Oryctolagus cuniculus: one gene and its partners. The main gene of each other region encodes a partner of the protein of the gene in region 2 in a complex. Links are inferred from orthologs where the notes say so. Each region holds a gene or a part of one and is shown on either strand. Other genes may lie near its edges.

The links.
Region 1: STRIP1 (region 2) and PDCD10 share a complex: the UniProt entries of both Homo sapiens proteins name them as parts of the core of STRIPAK complex. The link is inferred for Oryctolagus cuniculus from reciprocal best matches to the Homo sapiens genes STRIP1 and PDCD10.
Region 3: the proteins of STRIP1 (region 2) and MOB-like protein phocein are in contact, whole or in part, in a cryo-EM structure (PDB 7K36), measured with the Homo sapiens proteins. The link is inferred for Oryctolagus cuniculus from reciprocal best matches to the Homo sapiens genes STRIP1 and MOB4. Residues at the interface, in NP_149079.2 of Homo sapiens: His108, Asn120, Thr124, Met127, Arg128, Leu130, Asp131, Glu134, Val135, Thr136, Arg141, Glu178, Val179, Glu187, Met191, Asp194, Thr247, Leu256; in NP_056202.2 of Homo sapiens: Ile107, Phe108, Leu109, Ala111, Thr115, Pro116, Glu118, Lys140, Tyr141, Ser151, Ala154, Arg161, Arg162, Arg165, Asn199, Leu200, Ser202, Asp204, Asn205.

The regions. Positions count from the first base shown.
Region 1 is NC_091435.1:112,784,892-112,795,326, reverse strand, and holds the start of PDCD10 (programmed cell death protein 10), read right to left. Parts: upstream 5,690-10,435; 5' UTR 5,510-5,689; intron 5,299-5,509; exon of another isoform or gene 4,740-5,298; intron 1-4,739. UniProt on the Homo sapiens protein: Promotes cell proliferation. Modulates apoptotic pathways. Increases mitogen-activated protein kinase activity and STK26 activity. Important for cell migration, and for normal structure and assembly of the Golgi complex.
Region 2 is NC_091438.1:60,287,557-60,297,866, reverse strand, and holds the start of STRIP1 (striatin-interacting protein 1), read left to right. Parts: upstream 1-5,361; 5' UTR 5,362-5,402; coding exon 5,403-5,582; intron 5,583-8,052; coding exon 8,053-8,122; intron 8,123-9,296; coding exon 9,297-9,371; intron 9,372-9,760; coding exon 9,761-9,895; intron 9,896-9,996; coding exon 9,997-10,117; intron 10,118-10,310. UniProt on the Homo sapiens protein: Plays a role in the regulation of cell morphology and cytoskeletal organization. Required in the cortical actin filament dynamics and cell shape. Part of the striatin-interacting phosphatase and kinase (STRIPAK) complexes.
Region 3 is NC_091440.1:69,968,659-69,979,217, forward strand, and holds MOB-like protein phocein, read right to left. Parts: upstream 5,690-10,559; 5' UTR 5,680-5,689; coding exon 5,002-5,679; 3' UTR 3,107-5,001; downstream 1-3,106.

The DNA.
Region 1 (10,435 bases), on a different chromosome or scaffold from region 2:
GAGAGAGAGAAACAGAAAGAATGTAGTTTCCTCATTTACAAATGGGGATAATAGTGCTCTACCTCACAGGGTTGTAAAATTACATGACATCACTTAAAAACCTCAGCATGAGGCCAGTCACTCAGCTATTACTTCCTAACTTCTGGCCAAGGTATCAGATACCAGTTCTTTCCAATGTAGATTTAAGGTAATTTCACACATACTATATACTCAATAAATACATGGTAAGTGGATGAACCCAAGGATTATTACTATGCAACTTAGACTTACCTCTGGCAAACTTATTTCCAAGGGACTGGTCTGACTAAGTGGCAATGACTACCATTTTATATGTTCCACTCTTGTTACCCAGTAAGTCCTCGGTTTGCTCTATTTCCTTTCTCTCCATTTCCTCTCTCTTCTATAACCCATACAGCAACATCTAATTCTAGGTAACAGTGTAAGAATAAAATTGAAGAGATTCAAATCATTTTTAGGTAGTTACAAATCTGGTTATCCATGTCAAAAACGAAGGGTTACCTTGAAAAATAAGATATTAACATCACAATATACCCAAGTTATATTTAAATTTTTTAGGGTAAGTGAGAAAACAACTTCATAGAAACAAAAATGAACCACCAAACCACACTGCTTATGGTCAGCAAATAAAATTTTTCTCATTGCTGCAATAAAGATGCTTTCATTTTTTACACTGTGTGTTCATGCATGAATATACAGTCCTAAAGCATAAGCCTCTAAGACTGCAACTTTGACATTACAAAGGCAGTAACATACATAATCACACTATTTAAATTCTACATCACTTTTAGTTTATATTACAGGGAAACAATTATTTAACAGAACTGGTCTAAAATCTTAGTAACATTACCTATCAAAATAATTTTAACACTACAATAACATGAATATAAGAAGTAGTACATGAAGGGCTGGCACTATGGCGTAGAGGACTAAGCCTCCACCTGCAGTGCTGGCATCCCATATGGGCGCTAGATCCTGTCCCAGCTGCTCCTCTTCCAATCCAGCTCTCCGCATATGGCCTGGGAAAGCAGTGAAAGATGACCCACGCGCTTGGGCACTTCTGCACCCCTGTGGGAGACCTGGAAGGGGTTCTTGACTCTGGATGGGTCCAGCACTGGCTGTTACAACCATTTGGGGAGTGAACCAGCAGATGGAGGACCTTTCTCTTTGTCTCTCCTTCTCTCTTTAACTCTCTCTCAAATAAACAAACAAAATCTTAAAAAAATAAAATAAAATAGTACATCAGTTCTATCTTCCACATACTGGGTATGCTAAGTAAATACGAAAATTTTATCCACCATCCAAATGACATTAGAATTGACTTTTAAGAAAGTTTAAGACTTAGTAAAGAATTATATTCAGTAACAAAAACGGGGAGGGTTATCAATTTTGAAGCCAAATACCAACAATCGCTTTTTCAGTATCTTATGGAAAAGTGAATCAGAAAATCCACGAATATATATAAGGCTACAGCAAATTAGGGCTGTTGAATTTCTTCCATTACTGTGGTACTGTAACAGGCTATAAAATTTGTTTTCAAAACCAAAACCTAACAAAATGTATTCCTTAAGTCTCTTGACTTAAGGCAAATAATACATTACCTGAAGATCCTCTCAATAGTAATGAATTTTTTCAAGAAGCCCAATATACAAGTTACTCTGAAACAAGAACTACTCAATTTCACAAAGTCACCTTACAGAAAGCAAGTGATTAATAAATATAAAATTGACAGGAAGATAGTTAACAACAAGCAAACAAGCAAGCAAACAAAAAGATAAAGAGACAAGGGAAAAAGCACCATCATTTCCATACAGAAAGCTCCCTATCCTGATTTCAGAAACCTCAAATACAAAATGAAGATCATTCTAAAATTTTTATTAAATATCTGTAAAGAACGCCTTTGTATCTATTCTTTAAATTTCTTAAGCATGTTCCCACATGCTTCAATCCTTTATGTAGGCAGGAAGCTTATCTCTTTTATTCATTTCTGAATTTCTGTTTCTAGCAAAGTGAAAGAAACACTGTGAATGAATATACTCATTTATTCATTCAGCAAATATTTACTGAACACTTACATTGTGCCATGTACCATTTAAGTACAGGAGTAGGATACACGACAAATCAGAGAGCCCTGCTCAGGTAGCTTAAAGTCCAGTGAGAGAAACAAATATTTACCAAATAAATCAGAAATAATTAAGATCCTCTTGTGATGATGCCACAAAGCAGTACAGAGTATAGTGAAGATACAGTGGAGACCTATTCTGGTTTTGGAAAGGAGCAGTTCAAGGTTAGGGAAGGCTCCCTTTAGGAATGACATTTAAAATGAAACTTGAAAAGTGTCTAGGATTTGGTCAGATTTGAGAACAGTCCAGGCAGTGAAACAAAACATGTGCAAAGGCCCTGAAGTCAGTAAGGACTTAAGTATTTAGTAACTAAAAGGGCTGACAAATGAGAAAGGCTGGAAATCAAAGCATATTGTCAACAGTAAATAAGAGTCAAAAGGGTTATAACCTTTGAACATTTAAGTCACGTTATGTGTTTTCTCACCAAAAGGAAATAATCTCAGAAACTAAGTCCTATTCCATAATATTAAAGATGCAGTTAGAAGATCCAGATTACCCATGCCTTGTTCCCACCAGTTACCAGCTACATGACCTTGAGCAAGTAAACCCAACTGAATCTCTTCAGTCTTTTTAAAAAGGCACTCAACCTATGCCATCTACTGAGACTACAGTGATAAATACAACATGGCCTCTCTTCTTCTATTTGTAAACCCCAAAATGAGAACAAATGTGGATAACAGTAAAGTGCACACAGATGCACACATCACTCTGTGAACTCTCTTAATTATCCAATATGCAAATGATCACTGTACTCAAGCATGTGGCCGGAAGATGATAAATGTAAGAGAAACATTCCAATGACATTCCAGCAGAGGTGAAATATCAAAACTGAAATGAATCTCAGAGATAAAGAAAAATTCATGGTAAACTGAACCAAGAACAAAAACTGATATATGCTGAACAAGTAGATTATATTAACTTCACTTATTTCCAAAATTTCTCTAGTTCAAAAACTCTTTTCATAACCACACAGCTGCATGCCAAAAGTCAGAACTCATTTCACACCGTGCCCAACAAAAGCAAATATTTACACTGCCATCTAGAAAATGTATTAACATTCTTGCTTACCACCACTTACTAATGCATCTATGGTCTACTTAAACTACTTCACCTTTCTAATTTGACACAAAGCCAGTTAACTCCACACAATTTTCCACCTGTTTGGTTGACTCTTCCTTACAGGTGCACTATTTTGCTTATGGTGCTTATTATTCTCGATTTCACTTGATTCTATACTATCATACCTCTCCTTCCATTTTAAAGTTGTATCAATTTCCAGACCATCTTAACTTCCATAATATGGGAATATGATACATTTGATCCTAGAAAATACTGCTGCATTTAAAAATTACACACATTTAATATTAATATTTATAGTGTGTTCAAAATACAATGTATTTCAATGGTCAACTTAGATAACAATAAACCATGACAGATGATTGCCAACTGCAAATAGATTATTTATGAATATAAACTTAATGTGAAAAAATCCTGACATCAATGAACATATTCCCACATTTCTATTAAAAAAAAAAAACTATTCAGTATTAATACTGAGGAGCTGTCCTGGGTCGTAACAATTACAGGAGATAAGACTGGGAGAGGTGCATTAGTTTCTACTCCATATGAAATGTGTCCTGCTTTTCCATTCTTTAATACAAACTAAGAATGAATTAAAAGTCACAGATAGGGGCTGGCACTGTAGCGCTGCAGATTAAAGCCCTGGCCTGAAGCGCCAGCAGCCCATACGGGTGCCAGTTCTGGTTCCAGCTGCTCCACTTCTAATCCAGCTCTCTGCTATGGCCTGGGATAGCAGTAGAAGATGGCCCAAGTCCTTGGGCCCCTACACCCACGTGGGAGACCTGAAGGAAGCTCCTGGCTTCAGATCAGCACAGCTCCAGCGGTTGTGGCCATCTGGGGAGTGAACTGTTGGATGGAAGACCTCTCTCTCTGTCTCTACCTCTCTGTGTAATTCTTTCAAATAAATAAAAATAAATCTTTAAAAAAATTTAAAAAGTCACAGATGATGCTGAGAAAATTAAAATATGTAAGAGCCTCATTCTTTTATTTACACACACACACAGAATCAAAGAGGGGAGAAGCAAATGAATCACAAAAATATGTTACCTCCAAGAAATGCAATGTTATCTTCTTTTCTAGTAATGAGCACACTAAACTCTCCTTAATGTTGCATTATTTGAAACAAAAAAAAAGTGCACAGTAAGTTTTGTTAAAGAATTCCATCCCCACTGTTCTCAGTTTTACAACATGAGAGTGGAAAAACCACCTAAGGCAGGAAGGGAAAGGAATATATCCTTTTCACAGTAAGGATGGAATACACTGTTTAAATGACTTTCTCCTATTTCACTATCTACTTTTAAAAATGGACTGTGGGAGAAGTCGATCGTTAATATAGCCCCAATAAAGGACAAAATACGTAACTGATACTGATCCTTTTTATTTTTCAAAAAGGTCAGAGAAAGTGCTTCAGTGAGGAATTTCACCCCAGTTTAGAAAAAAAAAAAAGAGAGAGAGAGAGAGAGGGAAAAAAAAGTCACCCTTCAATCACTCATAGCTTCTTAGAAATCCATAAAATACCATTACTGTGTCACTTCCTCCACCTTCCTCAAGAAACACGGCCCGTCTCCGCACTTTGTGACTCCGCCGGCATCTCTGTCCTGTTCAGGACCAAGTCCCTGCCTGTGTGACCTTGGGCACGTCATTTACTCCCTCAATTTCTTCAACAGCATCCTGACGGGAAAGCTCTTCGAAAGCAGTTCCAGCCGTAAACAAACCTATCTTGGGTATCACACCCTCAACAGGGTCGAGCGGTTCTGCTCAGGGACCCCATCTCAAAACACTCAGAATCCGCCGATCTGTCAACATCTGACTCTTCCTACTCCGTTCTCCTTTTCCTTCAAAGGGCATAACCCCAGTCACCCCGGAGCGAAGACTTCCAAGCAACCCCTCCTTCCCCAGCCACACTTACGAAGCAAGGGGGAAACAGCAGCCTTACCTCTCCCGCCCCAAGCCACACCTTCGGAGGACCCCACCCCAGGCACATCCGCCCTCTCTCCTCTCGGGGGGAACCAGAGGCCAACCTCGCCCTTCCCCTCCGCCCCCACCTAGAGCACACTTCCTGGAGGCGTCCAGGCCCGAGCGGGGCGGGCAGGCGGCATTTACAAACCCGCTTTACGCCACTCGCGTAGGGTAACCTCGCTTACGCCCATAGGGCCCCGCTCCCAGCCCCGTCCGCTCCGCCAGCCAGTACCAAGCCCGAGTGCCTCAGCCCCGGCCCCTGTGTGACCCCAGACCTCTTCCACCGCGCGCGGAGACACGGGGATAGGGGCAGAACACCCGCACCTTACCGGCAACTGAGGCACTGACTTCACTTCCCACCTTTGGAGCCCTCTTCAACTCCCGGATCAATTCACTCCGGCGACGCCGGAAGGACCCGAGAGGAACCAGGCGTTGTCCGGAATCCTGCCCAGCCGGAGAGGCGCAGTGGCCTATGGGGACTCGTAGTCTCGCTCGCCGGCGTCGTCTGCAATTCCTGCGCTCCTAGGACTACACTTCCCGGCAGGCCATACGGCAGAGCCTAAGGCGATGGGTGGGGACACTCGTAGCCAATAGTAGGAGAGTTCCCGGCCTTTGCGGGAGGAGGTGAGAGGGAGAGAGAGGGTGCAAGGCTAGGGGAGGAAGGGCGGGGCCGGCTCTCACCTGCGCCAATCAGGGTGCAGGGTCGGCCCCGTAGGCGCCTCACCCAAGGAGGGGGCGGGCTGCCGGAGGAGAAGACGGAAGCGGGTGGGGGGGCCCGAGGTAGGGAACGTGGGGCCGGTGGAATGGGTCTGCAGCGCGGGCAGAGAGGGAGCCTGGAGTGCAGGGAGTGCGGGGACGCTCCGCGGCCGGGATAAGCAGCTCCGCCAAGCCCCAGACCCGCAGGTTGGGGAGCGATGGGCTGAGCCTGGGCTACCTGCGGAGGCGCCAGGGCGCGGCAAGGGAACAAGTCCAGGTGTGAGAGCGGGGAGAGGGTGGGAGGAAAGGGGGACCCCCGGTACGAGGGAAGCGGCTGGAGCAGCTTCCAAAGTGCAGGGAGCGGGCAGGGACCCGGGCGGCAGCAGCAGGAACAGCAGGGGGAGGAGCAACAGCTGCCCAGTTCGCCAACTGGAGGAGGGAGAGGCGGAGCTTGGGTCCCGGTGGAAGCCGAAGGCGCAGCCTGGACCGTAGTTTCCCGGGAGAGACCCGAGCAGGAGCGGGAGCTGAGCGGAGTGCAGTCCCTTCGAGCCTCAGCTCCAGCCGTCCGCCGAGGGTGGCAGGTGTGCGGGAGGTAAGCGTGGGCGCGTTTTCCGGGGCGTCCGCACACTGCCCGGGAGGAAGCGTCTTTGCACAGCAGTTGCAGCAGGGCACAGCTCAGACCGTCTGCCTTCGGCTGGAAAAACCGGGGCAAACCCTTTCGGGTGAAAGATGCACATTTTTGGACTTTGAGGAGGAAAAAAAAAAAAAAAAGAAAGAAAGGTCGCTTGACCCTGGGTATAAAGGGTGTGGTTGGTGTTTTTGGTTTGAGTTGCACGATTCAAACTGTTGTGGGAGGTCTCAAGATTGAGGGAACCCCTACTGATTGAGGACCGGGTGGACGGTATTCTGGATCGGTACGTAGCTGATGAAAAGCAAACGTCTCGTCGTTGATACAGAATTACTTCCGAACTGTATCCCTAGAAAATAACTTTGCGTTCTTCTTCAGCGTCTGCGGGTACGTTGGATGCTGAGATTGTCCGCTGCGGACCTGTTATCCAAGGTGGTTGTAATGCAGGTCCGTAGAATTCCGAGATCTGTATTAAGCTAATGCAGTCAGGAACAGCGGGATAGGATGGGTGCTCCCTGAACCTGTGGGAAGTATAACTTTTGCCAGTAATAGTGTAAAAATGTGTTTTAGTGGATGGGCACTTAGCTTTCCTTCCAGCGACTCTGGAATATTGGAACAAAGACCTGGACTCAGCCTACAGTGGGAACATATGGTGTACATCATTGCTGCTCCTTATTCGCTCATTTGTGTCCAGTGATATGTGTACATTTCAGAAAACAAGAGGACAAGGAAAGCTGTCTGAGGATCTTTTCTGTGTTTAGTGCGTACGTGCTAAATGTTTACCCTTTGTATGAATTATGATGGGTTCCGGTTAAAAACATCATAAAATAAGAGTTTATTCTCAGAATTAAGCCATGTGTATATTTCTTTGAGTGTAATTATAATAGTACTTATGGGTGGAAATATGGTGTAGATGGAAATATGCTGAAGATAAAAGGTGCATCTAGCTTTGTGTAACTGACAAAAATTGCAGGCTTTTCTCTTTAGAAAAGTAGTAGGATCTATCTGGTGAGTTCATTTTTCATTTTCTTTTTGTTACAGAGTTCCCCAGATTACATGGCTTTTAATCATAGTAGGGTATTGCAGCACATTTTGTTCTGAAATGCCTTTACTGTGATAGTTGTATATTTCAGTCTGGGAATACTTTCATCTAGGTTTTTTTGAACTAGGGTCAATAAAATGGAGTAATTATCTTTTATTTTCCAGTTTTCCTGATTTACCTAGGATTTTCAATTTTATTTTTGTACTGCACACATTTGTTTTTGAAAAGAAATGGCTCAAAGGAATTCTCTGTTTAAAGTTCAGTCCTACTGAGTGCTACTACTGAAAAGCTTAAGTGACTTACCAGTATATACATACTCCATCTTTCCCACACTCACACTGCAGAACTATGGAGACAGACAAATCTTAGCAAAATAGCTGCTCTTAGATTGACCCGGAGCTGATCAGGTAAGTATTAGCAGCAACAAAGAGCTTAGGAGAATGAAAAAGCCACTGTAGCCACTAAAATTAGCAGCCATGGTAAGAGTCAGATTTTTATCTTTGCTACACCATTGGAGAATCTTATTAATCCACATAGCTGCTATGACTCTGTAAAATTATTTTGGTAGGAAAAACTGGGTACTAGGGTTTAGTGAGGCTTGGAAAAAGATCACATTTGTCCTTGTTATTTGTGATTAAGTGGATTGTCCTGAATCAGAATCTTCTATTCTCTTGTAGTCTGTACTACTAATTCATTTTATGAAACTCAATATTTACTGTAGCCAGGTTATTTCTCTCATGTATTAGTAATAGTAATGATAATTCATTTTATACTGGCAACGGAATTCTTACAAAGCCTTTGTCAAAAGATATTTTTGCAAGAGTTTTGTTGACAATAACCAAGCATATGAATAGAAAATAAGTATCACAAAGGTTGAAATTCAGATATACTTTGAAACCCAACTCTTTACAGGTCTTCTGCTCTGAGGTATATAAAAAGATAAGAATCTCATCAGAAAGGGATGAGTTTGTAGTATTAAGGTACTGAATTTTTCACGTTTTTCCAAGGTTTTGATCCTTTTTATTGTGTCATTTAGAGAAATTGGGTTGTTGTATCTTTTGAGAGTAAGAAGATCATGCTTTTATGTGAGAGAAAAACATTAGCAGTGTATGGTGCTTAGACATTTGTTTATTACCTTGAACTCTTGACTGATCTTAATTGATATTCACATTCCATCTTCAACTTTTCTTGATTGATGTTGAGAAGTTCACTATATATCACTTTATAAGTATATATAAAATAATACCTATGTTAAAAGCATATTTACATATTTTCTTGATTTTTGCTGCTACATTTGTCTATCAGTGAATATATGATATGTAGAGAAGGAAAAGCCACAGAGTACAGAATGTCTCTCTTGAATGCAAATTGCTCTGATGTTATTCTTTATCCAAAACTTGGTTAATTTCAAATTACAGTATATCTTGGATTCATCTTTCAATTTAAAATTCTGACTCAAAGCTTATTGAGTAAAAATAATTGAGTAGCATAGGTTTCTAACAGGAGGATTCACTGATGCATGCAGCATAAAAGAACAAGCTCTAAGTGGTCAAATTCTAAGGGTTTTGGTGAGGAGAGACAGGAGGATAGACGTGAAGAAAGCTGAGAAACATACCCTCAGCAAGAATGAAAAGAGATGTGATACTTTTTGTTAAATGCCTATGAGGGATTCCATGCCCTTTTCATTCCAATCATTGATCTCTAGAGACTACATCCCGTGGCTGGAGACATTATTTCAGAATTTTCATTTTAGCTGGAATCAGAGTGATATTAATTCTTTAGATTTTGAGTAATCATAGGTTATTAAAGTATTAAAGATTCTATATGTATGCATTCAGTTGTAAGTAAAACATTATTCAGAAAAATGTGAAAATGAAGTGAAAAGCTGAAGTAGTGTTTTCCATCTTATAACAGAGATATTTGAACCAGAGAAGAATGAGCCAGAGAGCCCTTTCCTTTGATTTTCTGTTGTTTTCCTGCCCTTTTCTTCTTGAATTTTTTCCATCCCTTCCTTTCTTTCCTTCTTGCTTTCTGTAAATTCAAAAGATTAAAGGAATCATGATCAACTGTTTTGTTTGTTTTGTTTTGTTTTTAATCTTACCTTTAATATTTCAAGAATTTAGTCTTTAAAGTTTGGAAAATGTATTTCATGTAACAAAAGTATTAGCTTCTGGAGACCACATATGTTTTCTCTCTGGCTAGTCTTGAGCATTTTATGTCATGCTCAGCATAACCACTTACTGAATTAGAGCTGTTGGCCAACAATAATGTATACCTTGATATATTTTGCACTTTGATAGACCAGAGTCAGTTGACCTCACAGAAGGATTACTATGCTTAAGTCTTTCTGAGAATGTCCTGTTCTACTTAACTTTTGCAAAAGTATTGATTGAACAAAATTTGATTCAGAGTGTGAGTACCATGAAGACATCATAACATTGAGTGTCAGTATTTTTAGATTCATCTCAGAGATAGGGAACATGGATGAGAGGAAAGGGCTCTCCTACTGGTGGCATCCTAGGTCTACATTATATAGCCAGGGAATCACAGACGTGGCGTTACCACCATTTAACCTTAGGTCACTGGAGATGCTATGTTTATTGAAGCTTACCTTGAGAAAGCATATTTCATTCTATAAATACTGAATTTGTCCTTTAATTTTTCTGTTAAGCCTCTACCATAAAAGACGTTAGACTGATTTTGTTTAAGTGCATGTGGAGTTGGGCATTTATTGTTTTTGCATTTGACCTTCCAGAAGTAAATTAATCTGACTAGTGTTAGAATTAAGAATTCAGTATGTTTTCTCCCTCATGATTTGAAGACCTGAACAGTTCTAGTTCACTGTTCTTTAATTCTTTCTAGTGAAATTAATAGAGGCAGATATTTCAC
Region 2 (10,310 bases):
TTGAGATGCTGGTTAAGACTCCCACGCCCCACACTGCAGTACCTGAATTCTGTCTTTGGCTCTGGCTCCTGACTCCAGCTTCCTGCTAATGCAGACTGAAGTCGTTGACTTCTCACTACCCAAATGGAAGACCTGTGCTGTGTTCCTAGCTCCCCGCCCAGTCCTGGCCCACCCTGAACCATTGCAGGCATTTGGGGAGTGAACCAGTAGAAGGGATTCTCTCTCTCTCTCTTTCTCTCTCCTTTTGAAATATATAATTTTTAAAAAACTTTTAAAAGGAAAAATACAGGGTCGGTGCTGTGGCATAACAGGTAAAGCAGCTGCTTGCAGTTCTGGCATCCCATATGGGCGCCAGTTCAAGTCCCAGCTGCTCCACTTCCGATCGAGCTCTCTGTAGTGGCCTGGGAAAGCAGTAGAAGATGGCCCAAGTCCTTGGGCCCCTGAACCTGTGTGGGAGACCCAGAAGAAGCCCCCAACTCCTGGCTTTGGATTGGCCCAGCTCCAGCTGCTGTGGCCATTTGAGGAGTGAACCAGCAGATAGAAGACTTCTCTTTCTCCTCCTCTACCTCTCTGTAACTCTGCCTTTCAAATAAATAAATCTTTTTTTTTTTTTTTTTTTTTTTGACAGGCAGAGTGGATAGTGAGAGAGAGAGACAGAGAGAAAGGTCTTCCTTTTGCCGTTGGTTCACCCTCCAATGGCCGCCACCGCTGGCGCGCTGCGGCCTGCGCACTGCGCTGATCCAAAGGCAGGAGCCAGGTGCTTCTCCTGGTCTCCCATGGGGTGCAGGGCCCAAGCATTTGGGCCATCCTCCACTGCCTTCCCGGGCCACAGCAGAGAGCTGCCCTGGAAGAGGGGCAACCGGGACAGAATCCGGCGCCCCGACTGGGACTAGAACCCAGTGTGCTGGCGCCGCAAGCCGGAGGATTAGCCTAGTGAGCCGCGGCGCCGGCCAAATAAATAAATCTTAAAACAGGGAAAAGACAGTTTCACATTGGAGATTCCTAGATTTTTAGGGATTGTTTTCCAGGAAATAGGGACAAAGAATAAAACCCATCGACACCTAGTGACACCTTATTTAAAAGCTCACCTGGGGTTGTTTTGTGGGTGGCGGCGATAGTGGACAGAGCACCATGAAGGCTGCGGGCGCACAGGGAGAATATAAAGTGGTGGGAGCTGCCTGTCCACCCCCCCGGTGCCACACACCGCCCCTCTACTGCATGGGCATCTTCATGCCCAACCATGTGGTGGCCAGGTTCCTTCCACTCTAGTACTTAGCTTCTCAGCCGAAGAAGATGATGTCCTGGGGGAGATCTGCTGGCAGGTGTTTGAGAAGTCCCTGCTGTGGGTGAAGAGCTATGAGGCCCGCAGCAGCATGCACAACATGTACGGTGAGTACTGCAACCTGACCAGCACAGGGGCCGTCACCGGTGCTAAGGCAACATGGGCGTCCACCACATCCTGATCACGAAGGTGGAGATGCTGCCAGCAAGTGCTGCTAGCCACCATCAAGCAGTTCCATGACTCCAATATCAAGTTCCCACTGCAGCGCCAGCACAAGCCCGGCTTCACCACTAAGAGGCCCAACACCTTCTTCTGCCCCACTGCATCTGCCCCAGTAAACTTAGCCTGGGAATGCAAAACAAAACAAATCAAAACACAACCAAAATGCTCATCCGGGGGCCGGTGCGGTGGCTTAGTGGGTTAAGCCATGGTCCTGCTGTTCCACTTCTGATCCAGCTCCCTGCTAATGTGCCTGGGAAAGCAGCAGAAGATGGCCAAGTGCTTGGGCCCCCTGCATGCATGTGGGAGACCCAGATGAAGCTCCTGGCTCTTGGTTTTGGCCTCACCCACTCGTAATGTTGTAGCCATCTGGGGAGTGAACCAGCAGATGGAAAATCTTTCTCTCTCTTTCTCTGTAATTCTTTCAAATAAGTAAAATAAATCTTAAAAAAAAATAAGAGACTTGTTCCTTTTAGTTCCTTTTAGACTGGGAAGCCCAAGGTCAATGACCCCTTTCTTGCTACATCATCCCATGGTCAAAGGCAGAGAGACAAGAGAGTGCACACATGTATGTGAGCGTGTGTGTGTGTGTGTGTGCACACGCAAGAGGGAGGAGAGCAAGGTCATCCTTTAATCAGAAACCCACTCCCGTGAAATTAAAGCCACTCCTGTAATAACATTAATACATCCTTGAGGGGAGAGGCTTCATGACCCAATCACCTTCCCATGGTTCCACCTCTCAACACTATGCACTGAGGATTAAGTTGCATGAACTTTGTGGGACAGGTGCAAACCACAGCAGCCAAGATGGCTAAAAATGTCTTTAAGGATTCCACAACACAGCAGCAGGTAACAGTAACAAGTAATTATTACATATCACTTTTTTTTTTTTTTTTTACAGGCAGAGTGGATAGTGAGAGAGAGAGACAGAGAGAAAGGTCTTCCTTTTGCCGTTGGTTCACCCTCCAATGGCCGCCACCGCTGGCGCGCTGCGGCCAGCGCACTGCGCTGATCCAAAGGCAGGAGCCAGGTGCTTCTCCTGGTCTCCCATGGGGTGCAGGGCCCAAGCATTTGGGCCATCCTCCACTGCCTTCCCGGGCCACAGCAGAGAGCTGCCCTGGAAGAGGGGCAACCGGGACAGAATCCGGCGCCCCGACCGGGACTAGAACCCCGGGTGCCGGTGCTGCAGGTGGAGGATTAGCCTATTGAGCCACGGCGCCGGCCAGTACATATCACTTCTAAGATGTGTAATCTACAAGTCAGAATTGACATGTCTGAAACAAGTTTTTCCTTTTCCCAGATTTTTTTCATTTATTTAATTTATTTAAAAGACAGAGTTAAGAGAGAGATAGAGGAGAGAGAGAGAATCTTCCATCTGCTGGTTCACTCCCCAGATGGCTACAACAGCCCAGGGGTGGGCGAGGCCAAAACCAAGAACCAGGGGCTTCATCTGGATCTCCCACATGGGTGCAGGGGCCCAAGGACTTGGGCCATCTTATGTTGCTTTCCCAGGCACACAAGCAGGGGAGCTGGATTGGAAGTGGAGCAGCTGGGACTTAAAACAGCATCCATATGGGATGCTGGCGCTGCAGGCCAGGGCTTTAACCTGCTGCACCACAGTGCTAGCCCCCCATCTTAAATATTCTTAATAAAGTAATACAACCATCCCCCTTGTTGTTCAACCCAAAAATCTAGGACTCAGCCTTAATTGCTCTATCCAGTTGATAAGATTCCAGCCTATCTGCCAATCCTGCCACCTCTACCTACACAATATAGAAATATTATACCAACCCAATGCCCCATCCTGGTACAAGCACCCTCATGGCCATCTCCCTCATCTCCTGACTTGTCTACCCTCATCCACTCTTACAACTCACCAATCCCTTCTCCAAAAGCAGCCAGGTTGATCTTTAAACATCAGACCACGACATCTACCTGATTAACACACTGATGGTTTTCCATGTCACTTAGAACAAGATCCAAGTTAAGTGCCAAGGCTCTGCTTTTTCCTGGCCCCTGCATCATCTAGCTCTCATTGACTCCTGCTCTTCCTCTGCTCAGTTCCAGCCACACTGACCTCAGGGCTTCTGCACTTAGCTGGTCCCTCTGCCCATGTTCCCTCCCTGGATCTTTCATTTCTTGCAGAACTTATCCAAAATGCTATCTTTATGGCTGCCTAACTAGGCAATCTACCTAGTACGGTCACACACACTGCCACTTTTTTTTAGATTTATTTATTTGAAAGGCAGAGTTACAAAGAGAAAGGGATAAAGAAATAGATAGATAATCTTCCATTTGCTGGTTACCCCTCAAATGTCCAAAACTGCAGGGCCTCTGCCAGGCCAAAGCCAGTAGCTTCATCTGGGTCTCCCTTGTACTGGACTAACCATACATAGAATCTCCTGCCACTTTTCCAGGCGTGTTATCAGGGAGCTGGATTGGAAGTGGAGCAGCTGGGACTTGAGCCAATGCCCATATGAGATGCTGGCATCACAGGTGTGGCTTAACCCATTAGCCAGCCCCCACTTGCCACCTCATAATCCCTTATACTTACTCTTGTTTTTCTCTCCTTGGATCAAACTTTGTTAAGGCTCCTGAGTCTTCTGCCTGACCAGGCCTGAACTGGGGCTCCCTTCTCTGTCCTTGTTGAATCCAGTTTGAGCAAGAATCCTGCAAAGTCAGTTTAACAAAAAACTCACCCTTGATGTGGGACCACTCTTGATGTCTCAGTACTCTGGCTGCCCCCAGCAGTAATCCTGTCAAGTCAGCTTAGTCAGAAACCTTACCCTTGATGCTTCCTCCTAGTAGTTTTTGGTCCACGGATCCTCACTTGTCCTTTTTGGAGGCAAAGTTAGGTTCAATCTCTCCCTTAAGGCAAGCCAAAGTTGCAGTGGCCCCTATACTTGTGCCCTGTTGAACAAATTCTGCCCTGATATCTTTAAATGTTTTTTTGTTTTTTTTTTTGACAGGCAGAGTGGACAGTGAGAGAGAGAGACAGAGAGAAAGGTCTTCCTTTGCCGTTGGTTCACCCTCCACTGGCTGCCGCGGCCGGCGCACTGCGGCCGGCGCACCACGCTGATCCGATGGCAGGAGCCAGGAGCCAGGTGCTTTTCCTGGTCTCCCATGGGGTGCAGGGCCCAAGCACCTGGGCCATCCTCCACTGCACTACCTGGCCATAGCAGAGAGCTGGCCTGGAAGAGGGGCAACCGGGACAGAATCCGGTGCCCTGACCGGGACTAGAACCCGGTGTGCCGGCGCCGCAAGGTGGAGGATTAGCCTATTGAGCCACGGCGCCGGCTCTGCCCTGATATCTTTAACAAGTGTCATGAATACCTTTTCCTCGAATACCTCACAGCCTTATTTCTCTAATATCACCCTTTTTTGTTCATTGTTTGGCCCACTAGGCATTTATGGACTGGGAGTTTTCTCTGTGCTATCTCACTGCTTAAGCATAGCAGACAATGAGTGCACGTGCCACACTGTGATTGATTTAGTCGTGCATGGCTACCCCAAATGAGTGCAAACTCCATGAAAAGGTCTTATCCATCTTGTTCCCTACGGTATCCCTAAGTTTTGAACACTGCTATGACATTGCTAAGTGTAAATCGATTTTAGAGGAAAGAGGGGGGCCGCTAAACAGACTGAACGAGATAGAGCAGGCCTCACACACAGAACGACATCTGAGTAGAACTGGAGAGAAAGAGCAGAAACTGAAAAGACCAAGAAAACCAGTATTTCAGCCAGGAGAAATATCGCGAGATGTCGGGCAGCCAAGATGGCTTCCCGCACTTGCCGCCACACTCAATATGGCGAACAGAGAGAGCGTTCCTGGAGGAAGTCACGCGAGATTTGCATCCCGGGGACTGTTCGTGAATTGAGCCGGGGGTGTGGAACAGCCAAGATGGAGCCGGCAGCCGGTGGTCCAGGCCCTCTGATTGTGAATAACAAACAGCCTCAGCCGCCGCCACCTCCACCGCCCGCGGCTGCGCAGCCTCCCCCTGGAGCACCGCGAGCGGGCGGAGGCCTCTTGCCCGGAGGCAAAACCCGCGAGTTCAACCGCAACCAGCGCAAAGACTCGGAGGTCAGGAGCTTCTGGGGGCGAGGCTAGGACCCGGCGGGCGGCGGCTGGGGGCCCGGGCTCGCGCTCGCGGCCGAGCTGGGCTTCCCGGGGGGTTCGGCGGGGCGGGACCGGGGAGCTGTCACTTTACAGCCGAAGGAGCAGGCAGCGAGGCTGGTGTGGCAGTTCCCCGGGCCGGGGGCGTGAGGCTGGCAGCGCCGCCCGAGACAGGCTCCCGGAGCCGGCATCCACCCGCTGGCTCCCGCGGACAAGCCGCCCCCGCCGCGGCCGCCGATGAAAAGCGGGCGCCCCCAGTCTCTTATCCTCTCGGTGGAGGGCGCCGACCGGACGGCGCGGGCGGGCAGGGAGGCGGCTGGCGAGGGTTTAGACACAAGGCGCCTGGAAGGCGGATGGAGCTAATGACCACTCATAGTACAGCGAGGCCGGAGCTTTCGAGAGCAGGGGGCGTTGCCTCTGGTGCAGGCTCCGGCCATGGGTTGGCAGTGCTTGGTGTGCCCAGAGCGCCCGATGCTGGGGGCCCTTAAAGGATTAGACGCACTCGTGCCGGGGACCCAGGCTTCGCTCGAGTTCCAGGGGCGCCGGCTGGGGAGCAGCTGACTGCTCACCTCGCCCCGAGAGAAGGCGTTGCTCCTACCGCTTCCCTGCGCAGATTCATGAATGAAGACGCACGTCGCAGCGTTGTAGGGCATCGTAATCAGCGCGTGCCAGAGCTCTTACTATGCAGTCTCCTTCACCTGACGCAATCCCGGGCCGCTCCGCCGACTGGCGCTGATGAGTGAGAGGGAGCCATCGCTGTCCAGGCGCAGTGTCCCCACTCTTCCCCGCCGCAGAGCCGGGATACTGGCTTTGGACGTGCAGGATCAGCTCCTCTCCGTCTTCTGTGCTTTTGTTGCAACCCCAGACCTCTGGTGTAAAACACTGGCAAGCTCAGAGTTGGAGCTGGAAGTGAATTCTTTGGAAAAGCAAAGGAAACCGACGTTTGTGGGACCCGTGGGTGGTGGGACATCCAGGAGGACGACTCAGTACTTTTTCAAGCACGGGGAGGTTGTGAGAGTGAGGGGCGTAAGCCCACCTTCATCCTGAGAGGGGTTATTTTTGAAAATGGCTTTACATTTTCCTGAGTAGCCATGACCAGTTGAATACCGTTGGGTGCATTTTCACGTCTCTTACTACCTTTTCATTTCCACCGAGACTGAACCCACGGGAGGCCAGGAGACTGTCTGCAGGTGTCTCCTTAAGGTGCAGAGGCTGAGTCAGGCGGAAGGCAGTAGCTGGGAGCTGGATCTATGCCTGGGAGATAGGGAGGCTGATCTCTGCCGAGAGCGCTCTGTGCTACATAATCCTGATCGGTTCTTAAAAACCTGCAGGGTAGACTTTCCTCATCCCCATTCCAAAAAGGAAGAAACTGGGGCTGGCACTGTGGCGTGGTGGGTTAAGCCATCGCCTGCGAGGCCCACATCCCATATGGGCACTGGTTCAAGTCCCAGCTGCTCCACTTCTGACCCAGCTCTCTGCTATGGCCTGGGAAAGCAGCGGAAGATGGCCCAAGCGTTTGGGGTCCTGCACCCGTGTGGGAGACCCAGATGAAGTGCCTGACTTTCGCCTGGCCCAGCCCTGCCTGTTGTGGTCATTTGGGGAGTGAAGCAGTGGGTGAAAGTTCTCGTTCTCTGTCTCTCTCTCTCTCTCTGTAACTCTGACTTTCAAATGACTAAGTAAAGTAAATCTTCTAAAAAGGAAAGTGCGAAGCTCAGTGACTTGGGAGAGGGGTCGTGTGTTGTCTCGGAATAAGGGGCAGAGCTCTTGTTGTAGATGTTACCTAAGACTGAGGGTGGGAACCGCTCTCTTCACCACTCTGCTATCGCGAGGCCTACAGGACGGTGTGTTCTGGGTAATCACCTGTGCCCAGCAGTGAAAAGGGTCTGTCGCATTCTCCTGTGTGTGGGAGGCGGGCCCATCTGTTTGCTGCCTTCTCTGTCAGTTCTCACTGCAGTTTGAGACAAGGGCGAGAGACTAAGAGTTTGAATGCTGGGTTGATAGCCCACTAGCTGCCTAGATTCTGGAATCCTAGCACTTTGTGGAATAGTGGCTTCAGGGCACAACGTACTTGGAAGCTTTGTGTTCGTTCATTTGAGAGGGATTTGAATATAAAGCAGTGGAGGACTGTGCTGGGCATTGTGAAATCGCTGCTGATCAACGTGGACTGACTTCCTGCTTTCAAGGGCCTTGCAGTCTCGTGGCGAGGTGGAAACTGGACCCCACATGCAGTAGTTACAGGCGCTCTGGAGGGACAGGATAAGGTGCTCTGAGACGGCTTGGTGGGGAGGAGCGCGGGGCTAGCCCAGGAGACGAAATATGGTGATCGAACAGCAAGCAAAGGGGAGGCAGTGGTTTCCTGGGAACAGTGGTGGCTCTGGGTGCATTTCTGTTTCCTGCTTTGTAAAGTACGCGTAACGCTGTCTCCTTTTGTCAACAGGGCTACTCCGAGTCACCAGACCTTGAGTTTGAATATGCTGACACAGACAAGTGGGCCGCAGAGCTGTCGGGTAAAGCACAGTCCTTTTGTCATCTGGGGGCAGTTTTCTCCATATTGGTCTTTACGGAGATTTACAATGTGTATCATTTTGGAATCATTTTTTCCTTAGTTGTATCAGTGATACACACACACACATATGTATGCATACATATATGTGAATAGTATGTTATTTTGTTTAAGTTTTGTGTACCTTGAAACTGGGTTCGATCGTTCTTTTGTTTGTTCTCTTTCTCTCTTTCATTTGTTTTTTCTCTCTTCCTTCCTTTTTTTAGATGTATTAATTTATTTGAAAGGCAAAATTACAGAGAGAGAGGGAAAGACAGAAAAAGAGAGGTCTTTGATCTGCTGGTTCACTCCCCAAATGGCCACAATGGCAAGGGCTAGGCCAGGCCAAAGCCAAGAGCCTGGAACTTCATCCAGGTCTCCCACGTGAGTGCCGGGGCCCAAGCACTTGGGCCATCCTCTGCTGCTCTCCCAGGCACATTAGCAGGGAGCTGGATCAGAAATGGAGCAGCTGAGACACAAACTGTCACTCGTATGGGATGCCAGCGTTGTAGGCAATGGCTTAACCTGCTAGGCCTCAACGCCAGCCCTGTTCTTTACTTTTCTGAAACATCTCTGTATTCAGCTCAGTTGGCTAGGGCCTAGTCCCAGGGTGACATGGTAATGTTCCTTGGCCATACACTGTCCCCCAGCAGTCGCCTCCCATACAGTAGTGTGTCATGGGAGATACCAGCAAACACGCCTGCATGTGTGCAGATCTGCCATTGCCACAGCCACTCCTGTGTGACCTAAGTCCAATGTGAGCTGCTTCTCCAGCCTCCATACTCCCGGGTCAGTTGGCAGGTAGCACTGGGGAGACAGTTTCAAGGTGGCGCTCACCTCTGGCATGGCATGGCGTGGCGTGGCGTGGCATGGTGGATCGGTGCGTATCAGATGGAAGTGCCTGTATTTATGCTTCTCCGGTGTCCTGGATTTCAGCTGCAGGGGGAGTCAGCATTCTCTGCATTACATACCCGAGCGCCCTAAGACACCCCCACCCCGAGTGATTAGCATAGGCCAGGAGTCGACGGGTGCAGGGGCAGAGTTGGTCCCGGAAGCACACACCTGACCTTGCTGGCTACTTGGGAGTCCCCTGGGGAAGCAGGTGTGGAGCTGCTGTGACGAGACTCTGTTCTTGACAGAGCTTTACAGCTACACGGAAGGACCGGAATTCCTGATGAACAGAAAATGCTTCGAGGAAGACTTCAGGACTCATGGTGAGGTGGTTTCCTGATTTCTTGGCTCATCACCGGCGTTGCAAGAGCTCCAGTTTCTCTTAGTCATCTGGATGACCTAAGTCATCCTGGAATGGCCCGAGAAACCTGTTGGACCGACTTGTTCCAGGCCGGGTGCAGCACGTAGAGTCGCCTTGTGGGCCTTTGCTGGCGGCTTTTCAGAATGTGAGCACTGGGGAAGAATCTGTGTGACTGTAGTGTTTGGGTCAGGAAGTTCCGATTCATAGAGCAGCAGTCGGACCTTGCCCCTTCCACAGAGTCACCGGTCTTTCCACCCCTATGGCAATCCTGAATTTGGTGGATCAACAGCGGGTCTCTTCCATTGTGAGCATTTTTCTAGGCTCAGGTATCACTGGTGTCTTGCCCTGCAGTGACAGACAAAAAGTGGACCGAGCTGGACACCAACCAGCACCGAACCCATGCCATGAGGCTCTTGGATGGCTTGGAAGTCACTGCCAGGGAGAAGAGACTCAAGGTGGCTCGAGCAATTCTCTACGTTGCCCAAGGTACTGGGTGGGCCTCGCCTGGGTCCCCTGGCGCCTCTGCCAGTGACGTCGCCCAGTCAGACGTGGGGGTGGGCTTGGCGAGCATTGCCGTGTGTTGGCAGGCACCTTTGGCGAGTGCAGCTCGGAGGCAGAGGTGCAGTTCTGGATGCGCTACAACATCTTTCTGCTGCTGGAGGTGGGCACGTTCAACGCCTTGGTGGAGCTTCTGAACATGGAAATAGAGTGAGCACTTCTGCGGGGCTTGAGTAGGGAGGCGAGGGCAGGGCTGGACGGAGGACCGTCTGTAGAACACACTGGCTTTGAAGGGGTTAAACGGGCCACTTGGGCTGAGGGTTTCCCCCCAGGCTCTGTTCTCACCTCTGGGGTTTCATAATTGGAAGCTGCCACCATTAGGGACCAACCCTAATGCCTGCAG
Region 3 (10,559 bases), on a different chromosome or scaffold from region 2:
TGTTTTCTCAATTCATTCATGATTCCATTTTAGGTCAGCTCTTTAGAGCATCCATCTGGCCACTTCTTTAAAAATAAAAATAATACCAGTCCACCATTATTCCTTTAGCCCGATGCTATGCCTCCATAACATTTGTTTCCACCTGCCATTACATTGTTTGTTTATTTGCTCATCATCAGCATTACACAGTCTACTGGGAACACCTTGAAGGCAAGAACTTCGTCTTGTTCACTGCCATATATCTGCATGTAGAACACTGCCTGAGTGATTTTTGGTGTTTAATAGTATCTGTGAAAAATAAATTAACTTTGACCCTAGCGTTATAATTTTTATACCTTTTGCTTCTCAGGAAACCTGAAGGTGACCCTGATGCATCCCTTAAGGGACAAAATAGTGGTCTCTGCAGTTGCATATTTGTCCTGATTGTCAGACTTTGTTCTCTGAGGTTCTTCCAAGTCACTTTCATCTGCAATTATGGGGACCCTGGAGTATCCCACCGAGAGCATCCCTTCTACTGCTTGACTGAAGATTAGATGCACTACCAAGTTGCCATAGCTGATTTACAATCTGGCTTCTCATTTAATTCTGCCTGACTTCATCTTCTTTCTGATATAATTTTATTAAGGCCCCCAGCATCTCCATTGTATGATTTCTCCCCCCCCCACCCCGTTTCTGTCAACAGAGGGCTGTTTACCCTCCCCACAGCAGGTGGGGATTTAGGGTTATACATCTGTGACAATGAACACTTTTTTAAGTGACTTTTCATGTGGGTCCAGATCCACCAAATCAGATTATTGTATGCTGAAGAGACGGTAAAAATGCTTCTATTTCTTTCACCAAGACTTGATTTTCATCCAATTTTCTGGGACTTAAAACAGAAAGCTTGCTTGAGGAGAAGGTGGTCCAGTTGTTGCCTTAGGATAAAGTGAAGAACCTCCCTTGGCATTCCTACCAGTTCTATCCTCCTAAGAAAGCCAGTGTCCCTGGAGTGTTCCTGGGAGGAGTGCATCCCCATATCACCTTCTCCATGCTCATACAAGCACACTTCAGGATAGGAATCCTGTTTGGTGAACTGTTACACAAATTGGTATCATCAGCTGTCTTTCCTCACTTGCTTTGTGGACAGCCTTCTGATGAAAACAGTTCCCTTATCTGTTTAAAAGTACTGAGAGATTCCACGGTACAAGCATTGCCAGTTTATTAGCACATTCTCCCAGTGAAGGGTAGAAATCGCTCTCTGTTTGTTGTTCCCTGACAAGCCTGATTCTGTAACCAGGGTCCTACTCAATATTTTTGATAACTTGATTTTCTGCTGAATGTTTCTGCAAAAATTCTGACTCATCGTGGAGAAATGGGTTTGCTGGAAAAGTCTTTATGTGCATTTTCCCCAATGCCCTGAGTCTCCCTCCACCCTTGCCATTGATCTCATCAAATCACATGGTTAGAGAGTGGAAGGTGATGTGCAGTGGGTTTAATGGGTTGAAGACTTCCCCATGTGCTTGAAAGCAGTGTGAAGGCACACAGAAAAAGCCCTGTACCAGTGCTCAGGATGGAATTCTACTTTTGTTTCTACTTAACAGTGTGGTCCAGCTTAAGTCATTTGCCCTTGTAGGGTTTAAGTTCTTCAGATTCAATTAGGTGGTGGGGTAAGGTGAAGCTTCTCAATCTAGGCAAGCTGAGCGTCTCTCTCACAGAGCAGGCAAGGGTTCTCCAGGCTAAAAGAGAAGCAAAAAGCATGTTTCTATGATATGTGATACTGAACTGTTTTAAATTCAAACTTCCTTAGGCATATTATGGCATACAATTTAAAATCTGTATGGATAAAACTGTGACACAGGAACCCAAGGAAGTTCCCAGTCATGGTTGCTTGTTGTGGTTCTGACTGTTTTTTCTTATAATTTCTTGAAAACAAAGCATGGAAAAGAAGAATTTGGCCATTCCCCCAGCAACTCTAATGAACAGACCAGGGCAGTATTCATTCCAAGTGCACCTGCTTCTCAGTGAAGCCATAGTTAAGTTTCTGAAAAAGGATTTGAAGCTAAAGTTGAGAAATTTCAAGTCAATGAGTATGTTTTAATGGGCATTACCCTAAAACTCAGTCTTGAACTTTTCCCCTCCCATGTTACGTTACTTGGAATACTTCATTCATGTAACAGGTGTTTCTTGAATGTCAGCTCAAGGAGAGAAGCAAGAGGCAAATCATGTGAGAGACAAGAGTGAGGCCCGAGGTGGAAGTGTGTTCAGCATGCAGAGGACAAGAGGAGGCCAGTGCCTGTGCAGTGAGGAGGGAGGGCAGGAGAGATGGTGCTGGATAGGACCCAGACCCTGTGTGAGCCCTGGCCCAGACCCATCTAAACCAATCCAGTTGCATGGATCACTTAAGGCTTCCTAGATGACTTTCATCACCAGTATGAGTTGAAAATCACTGATGTGGGGTCTCATTGGCTTTCACTCTGAGTAAGATGGAAAGGCATTAGTGAGTTTTTTAAAAACTTTTTTTATTTCTATAAGGTGAACAAATTTTATGTGTTTCATATATACAGATTTAGGAACATAATGATACTTCCCTCCTAGCCTCCCTCCTACCTACAATCCCAGCCTCCCTCCTCCTTCCTTTCTTACTTTTTCTTTTAATTTTCACAATGACATACTTTCAGTTTATTTTATAATCACAAGCTTAACTCTCCACTAAGTAAAGAATTCAACAAGTAGAAAATAGAAAAAAAAACCACTGTTGATGTGAAAGGCACACACACACAGAGAGAGAGAAAGAAAAAGAGAGAGACAGACAGAGAGAGACACAGAGAGAGAGAGAGACAGAGAGAACTCCATCCAGATCTTCCCTGTGTGTGGCAGGGACCCAAGTACTTAAGCCATTACCTGCTGGTTCCCATGGTGCAGATTAGCAGGAAGCCAGATCAGAAGCAGAGTAACTAGGATTCAAAGCAAGCACTCCAGTACTGGATGCTGGCATCCCAAATGGCAACATAACTGCAGCACTAAACACTTGCCCCCTCCACCCTGCCTTTTTTTTTTTTTTTTTTTCTTTTGGAGTTTTTTTTTTTCTTTTATGATCAATTCCAAACACAGTACAGGGAAGATGGAATGAATACGAAAAAATATCATTTTATTTCCCCATTAAACACTAAGTCATATTATTCAAAATGTGTTTCAAAATCCTTAGCCAGATAACCAATTCCAGTCACTATTTTAGTTCTAATGTTCACCAAGAAAATAGTCAAGTAACAGAAAGCCATTATGAGAAACCATCAAGAGAGAAGAGCTACATTGCTATCTATAATTTAACTTAGTAGGTTATTCTCTCAATATTCAGCAAGTTTGCTTAAAAATTACTATTCCATTAGTTTATAGTGACATTAAAAAAAAAAAACGTATAATTTCAAACTCAACATTCCTTTCACCGTGAACATAAAACTTCTAAAAGATAGCTGTGAGTTGGGGTACAATAAGGACTGTGGCTGCTGGGACAGTACTGTTCAAAGCCAAAACGATTGGCAGCCTTGGAAAGGCATAAACTATATACACACACTCTCAGTATGCTACTATTTCTCATATTTTTTTCTTTGCATACTTGTCTCATAATATGGTATAAATAATTTCTTTGAAGACAATCAAGATGAATACATTTTCATCTTCATTTCAAAATAACTATTTTAAATGAAAAATTTTCTCACATTTGTTAAATATGTCTTAGAGATGAGTTTAAGTATTTTCTTCACTACATGTATAATTTTTCTACCCTATCTTAGTGCCTCATTACAATCAATTTGGCAATAAGACCTCTCTAGTACTCCATGAAAAACTGCATTCAATAGATTATAAGATCGTTACATCTGCACCCAAATTCTTATATGCTACAACAAAGTCTAAAAAATGTATGGCCATTCATCAACACCCTTGCATCAATTATTGCAAATAACCTCACATATGTATTTAATTCAAATTTTGTGGAGAAAGGGTACAAAATAAATACTACAATATTTCTTTAACTCTAATGCTGCCTAGAGTAAGATGAAAAGATTAATATTACTGAGAGGAAGAATCAAATGGCTTTAAGGTCTGTCTTCCAAGTAGTTAGAAAATTTTCACAAAACAAAGAGCCTATGCCAACACATCTTTCTTGTAGTGTAATATAATTGCTAATATGAGGTAAATCTGTAAGCAATTAATACAAACATGAGTATAAACAGGTATAAGTCACCACTAAGTCACAGTCTGGTGAAAGACTTCTCAGCTAAAGTATCTGGGGACAGGATTATGGGAAGTGAGAAGGGGGTGAACAGTTTTCCAGTGGGAATACCTTTTATGTGCCTTATCATTAGCATCAACTTATATGTAACAGTCCACTGCTGTAAAAAGGTATATCCTTTCCAAGTATGCTGGCCTAGAATATACTTTATATAGCATAGTAAGATTATATAAGAATTACTAATGCTTCATTTGCATTTATATTTGGATATACACATAATCATAAATGCATATCAAAAACTATAAACAGAATTTTAAAGTACTTTTATCTCATTTTGGAAAAGTTTACAGTTTATGTTCTATAGAATTTTCTATAATATCTAAATTCAGGGACAAAATGAAAGGAAAACATTACTATCTCTTTAGTAAATGGTTTGTGCAAGACCTCAAGCTTACTCATCTTTTTATATATGGGTTTATTTGATGAGGATTGTAATCCAATGATTGTTTAGCAGCAATTTTACCAAACTGTAAATTCTTTTATTAACAGGCATTATAAACAGATAATACTAATCTTATTTAAAAAACCATGAGTGCCACACCGGTGAATATACAGCTTATGAATAACTTAAAAAGTATTTCCCCTTTTAAAAGGCAACACACAGCATACAAAAACCTAATCTAAACAAAGAAGCTATAATATGAATACATGATTGATGTGTCTAAAATGATATATACAGTACATAATGAACGTTAATTATGTGATCAGTACATTTTTCTGTACGATTCCCTTCATGCTTCACTTTCTCCAGAAACTGAATTCTGAACTTCCTCTTCTAAAATTGGTACAATCAGGTTATCCTTGGACATCAAATTGTATTTCATCACAAATTTAGTAAACCGATGACACAAAAAGGTTTCATTTTCATATTCATCAAATATCTGCCGGTGATGAAAATAAGCATGCGAAAATATTCTATAAATCCTACGGCATACTGATCCTAGTTTTGCTACAGATGATTCCTTTATGCTAACCCTGCTAGGAAAATATTTATTGCTATTCAGAAGACATGCAGCACCATCAAGCGTGTGTCTAGTATAGTCTATAGCAGGACACTCTTTTGGAGTTTTATGAGCTGCACACAGAAAAATCCACTGTTCAGTTGCTGTCATTTGAGTACAAGTATCTGGATGGCATTCACTCTGAAGTTTGACAGCAAGTCCATTTAGCTCAAGACAGAATTGCCTTAAATGTTCATACTTCCATACACCTTCATCTTGGCCTTCAGGTGGTTCAAGAATTTTATCAATATTGGAGCAATCTGCTCTTATGTTCTGCTGAATATACTGCTGAACAGCAAGTGTACTGTCCATTTCATCAAAGGATTCATCAGGCCAATTATAGAAATCCTGCGCCTTGGTGCCCGGCCTGTTCCGCCTCAACACTGCCGTCCCCTCCGCCATGACCATAGTGCCAGAATCTCCACCCTGCCTTTTAAGAAAATTTCTATTCATCTGTGAGTTTTTGAACTCCTGTGACCATGCATCACTCTGGACTTATGTTGAGAACTGACCCCAGGGAGGCACGCATGGGTGCAGAGCAACCTGGTAGGAGATATGATGGTGCTTGGCTGCCACAGGAATGCTGTAGTCATACCATTAGAATCTGGATACACACAGAGGAAGTGAGGGAGGGATGCAGGAGGGGAGGGAGAGAGGAAGACAAAAAAGAATCTGGATATTCTTGCTAAGGTAGAGCCACCAGGAGGAATGGTTGCCGAGTGAGAAACAAATGAAAATTATATATATATGTGTGTGTGTGTGTGTGTGTATTATATATATAAAAGTGAGAACAGTAAATGTGTTTTTAAAAATTTTATTTTTTAATTTTGATTTTCAATTAGTTATAAGCAGTCAATGTAACATGTAGATACAATTCTATGAACATAGTGATATTGCCTTCCTCCTTCCCTCCCTTTCCCTCTCTCTCTTGCTCCAAAATCTCTGAAATATCCCAAGAAATCCTAAAGAACACTAGCCTTTGACCATTAGTTCTGATGTTCCCTGTCTTCATGATGCAGTTTATTTTATTTCCTTGAAAAGTAGAGTTGCAGAAAGAGAGAGAGGGAGAGATGGGAGAGAAAGAGATCTCCCATCTACTAGTTCACTCCCCAGATGGGTGCAAGGCTGGTGCTGGGCCAGGCTGAAGTCAAGAGCCAGGAACTCGGTCTCCCTCATGAGTGCAGGGACTCAAGCACTTGGGCCATTCTCCACTGCTTTCCCAGGCACACTAGCAGGGATCTGGGTCAGAAGTGGAGAAGCCAGGACTCCAATCAGTGCCATAATGGGATGCCGGCATTGCACGTGGTGGCTTAACCTGCTATGCCACAACGCCAGCCCCATGATGGCAATTCTTACCAGTGTCCTTGGCCATGGCTGTTAGTACTGGCATGTCAGCTCTTTCTCTCTGGTAATTACATTGGCAGGACTCGGTCTTCCTGTATTTTCTCTTGTGTGAAGCCTGAGACTACCCTTTCAGTGAGCTTCAAAATTTGCATGTTGGCTGCAAAGAGAAAAGCCATTTACTGCTTCCCTGAGAAGTTGGCTGGCTTTTTGCAATAATGGCTTTATTTGGACACATGTACAAAGACTTAGAAGAGTAAGCACAGTCTATCAGAAACTCTCCTGAACAACTCTGCTAGCATCAGACCCTTGAAAATGTTAGCAAGTGTTGTCAACTGTATTATTCTGAAATGAGCGTGTCTTTCCAAAAAGGATTTGACCTTTACCCTTCAAAACTGTGACAGTAAAAGTCATCACTCATCTGCTTTTCCCATCTCTGGGTCTTTCTCCCAGCTCCTTAGTGAGGGGTTAGGCTTGATATCCAGGAAATAGCCTTGAAGTCCTCCGAATCATTGAGAAGCACGAGGGGAGGTGGGAGGCCGTCCCACATGTGACCACGTTTTAGGGGATGTGGTTCCAGTGCAGCCAGTCTTGGGGCTCCAGAAAGTGAAGCTCAGTAAACTTCGTGAATCCTGGCGCGCTCTCCGTGGCCAGCCCGCTTTCCAGGGTGTTGAATGTCTGGCTTGGCCCTTTGTTGTGTTTAGCTAAGCTCTCAGCCTGTTTTAACACGTGGAACCTCCTGAAACGTGAGCCAGAGAGCCTCACAGATCTAGCTCCATTTCGTTCTGGTCTGTCACTTCGGTGTTAGCATTTTCCTCACTCTTGTTTCCAGTTTGAGTCATGAAACCATTTCAGTTCGGTTTTAATAACCTCCCTGGCATGGCGAGCGCTACAAGAGCTGCCAAACTTAATACGTCGCCTCCGTGGGATGAGGGCAGCCGCTCTGGCCAGGGGACCGGGAGGTGGATTTTCTCTCAACGCATCCGTTTTCCATTACGGCCCGTCCTGACTTGGTAGCGGGAGGCCAGGTGCAGCTGGTTTCCTCTTCCACACGCAATCACTTCTGACTTCAGTTTCTACGTTTCCCCGTCTCCTGACCCACTCGTCGATCCTCTGACTGAATCGGCTACCTCAGGAGCCGTCTTCCTGCCTGAGGAGTGCATCCCGGGGCTCAGCCGCGGTGAGAGGACAGAGCTGCACGCTGCAGGACAGAACTCTGCCCGGAGACTTGCACGCGGGTTCTGGCAGCTCCCCGGCCACCATAGAGAGACAGCTGCTCCGGCCCAGAGAGTCGTCTTTGTGGAGCAAACGCAGCACCCCCTTCTGAAACCCTTCTGCTTCTGAGTCCAAACCTATGCCAGTGAGCACGGCCCTCAGCGCTGCTCCTATGCCTGCTAACAAAGGCCCGGGCAGGAGACCAGGACCCCATTGTTCATCCTCAGGCCTGCCTCACAGTCTGTGTTGCAGACACTGACACACTCATCTCATTGAATAAAGGACACAATACATTTTCATTTCTTCTGAAATGTTCAAATACATCATAGATTTCATGGATTGCTTTACAATGTAGAGACACCCTCCTACAAGTTAAAGAAACACAAGAGGTTCTAAATTTATGAACAAATAGGTTAAATTGCTTGGTTGACAAATAGAGTGGCCAGAAGAACCTTTCAATAGCTGTACTCTAGTGGAATAATAATGTACTACAATGTCTTTATTCAAACAAGGTGAGCTATTCCTGTAGCAGAAGCAGTTAGTAAAAAAAAAAAAAAAAAAAAAAAGGTGAGAAACAGAGCCAAAAGGCTGCCCCAAACAGGTGTATAAATTTTCGTTTGGGAATGTAGCCACCTATGATGTTCTTTGGAACCTCAGCTTAATCTTAGAAAATTTCCACTAAAAGTCTCCAAGAGAATTCAGTGATGGGGCCACGGGGTAGAGTTTCCTTAGGTTTTAGCTGATCTTGCCACACCTGTGTTTGTGGCATCTGGAAGGAGAGACTGCAAGCCCCATAGGTGGAGGGAGGGCATCCACCTGGGGTCTCATTGTCTCGCAGCTCTCAGCTTTAGGTGGTGGGTGAGTGGTGGGTGACACAGGCTGGAGGCTGCCGCTTTGGTGAAACAGACCGGGAGCGAGGTGCCGCTCTGCTGAGTGCAGCTGAAACCTCACCAGTTTCTGCCCTGCTCAGAGCAGTGTATCAGAATGCAAGAAAACAAAAAAGCTGCTAGTATGGGGAGGTATTGGGACTGAGCTCTGTGCATTTGGTTTTTAAGTTTCTTACTTAGCAGTGTTGCCTATGTTGCTATCTGCTCACTTTGACTCCTAGTGACTTGGTTTTTACAAACCTTCCTCCCTGAGACAGCTACTGGTGTAATGGGACATTGCTCGCTGCCTCTTAGCACCCAGAGCCCAACCAGCCAGGGCAGCCTCAGCGCAGGACACTTCCTGGTCTCAGCAGGTCCCAGCAGGCTTCCCGTGGGGACTGAGCCACAGGAGGCAGCACGAAGGGAAGCCTGTGGCTGGTTTTTTTCTTTGTTTTGTTTTAAGATGCATGGATTTCTTTTCTTTTCTTTTCTTTTCTTTTCTTTTCTTTCTTTCTTTCTTTCTTTCTTTTTTTTTTTTTTTTGACAGGAAGAGTGGACAGAGAGAAAGAGAGAGAGAGAAAGGTCTTCCTTGGCCGTTGGTTCACCCTCCAATGCCCGACGTGGCCGGCGTGCCACGGCCGGCGCACCACGCTGATCCGATGGCAGGAGCCAGGTGCTTCTCCTGGTCTCCCATGGGGTGCAGGGCCCAAGTACTTGGGCCATCCTCCACTGCACTCCCTGGCCACAGCAGAGAGCCAGCCTGGAAGAGGGGCAACCTGGACAGAATCCGGCGCCCCGACCGGGACTAGAACCCGGTGTGCCAGCGCCGCAAGGCGGAGGATTAGCCTAGCGAGCCGCGACGCTGGCCATTGATTTCTTTTAAAGGCAGAGTTGCACAGATAGAAATGGCCGCAAAGGCCAGGACTGGGTCAGGCTGAAATGAGAAGCCTGGAACTCCACCCATGGACGTCAGGGGCCCCAGTTCTTACACAATCTTCCTCTACCTTTCCAGGTGCAGGGAGCTGGATCAGAAGTGGAGCAGCCAGGACTCAAACCAGTGTCCACAGGGGATGCTGGTGTCCCAGGTGGCGGTTTGCCCCCACTACTGCAAAAACATCAGCCTCTTTGCAGGGTCTTGAAACTCTTCTCAAGAGGAGTTTGAGCTGGATCTGCTGGCCTCAGGCTGCCCCCAGGCAGGTGGATACCCATCACTCCGATCCTGCCTCGTTCTGGTTTTGTTTCTTTGCCTGTTTTTAACTTATTCCCTTTCCCATGGTTTTCAAAGCACAGGACTTTTCATATTTCTGAAATATCATAAAACATCCTAATTAGTCATCTCTGTCCTGTGTCGCCCAAGATAGCTGGACTGTTGTTAAGGGTTGAAAACCCAAAGTTTCATTTGCAGACCTAGCCAAATGTATTTATGGCAAGATAAAATGACACAAATTCTTCTGCAATATTGAAAATTATTTTTAGGGGCCGGAGTTGTACGGTAGTGGGTGAAGCTGCTGCCTGTGGTACCGGCATCCCATATGGGTGCCAGTTCCAGTCCCAGCTGCTCCACTTCTGATCCAGCCACCTGCTAATGGCTTGGGAAAGCAGCGGAGGATGGTGAAAGTATTTGGGCCCCATCACCCACGTGGGAGACTTGGAAGAAGCTCCTGGCTCCTGAGCTCAGCCTGATCTAGCCCCTGCTATTGTGGCCATCTGGGGAGTGAACCAGTGGATGGAAGATATCTCCCCCGGCCCCTTAGCTCTGATTTTCAAATAAATAAATCTATCTTAAAAATTATTTTTGAATTTACCAGAAGCACTCACTGAACTTTCTGAAGGGAAAAAGAAAATATAGCAACAAAAAGAAATCTC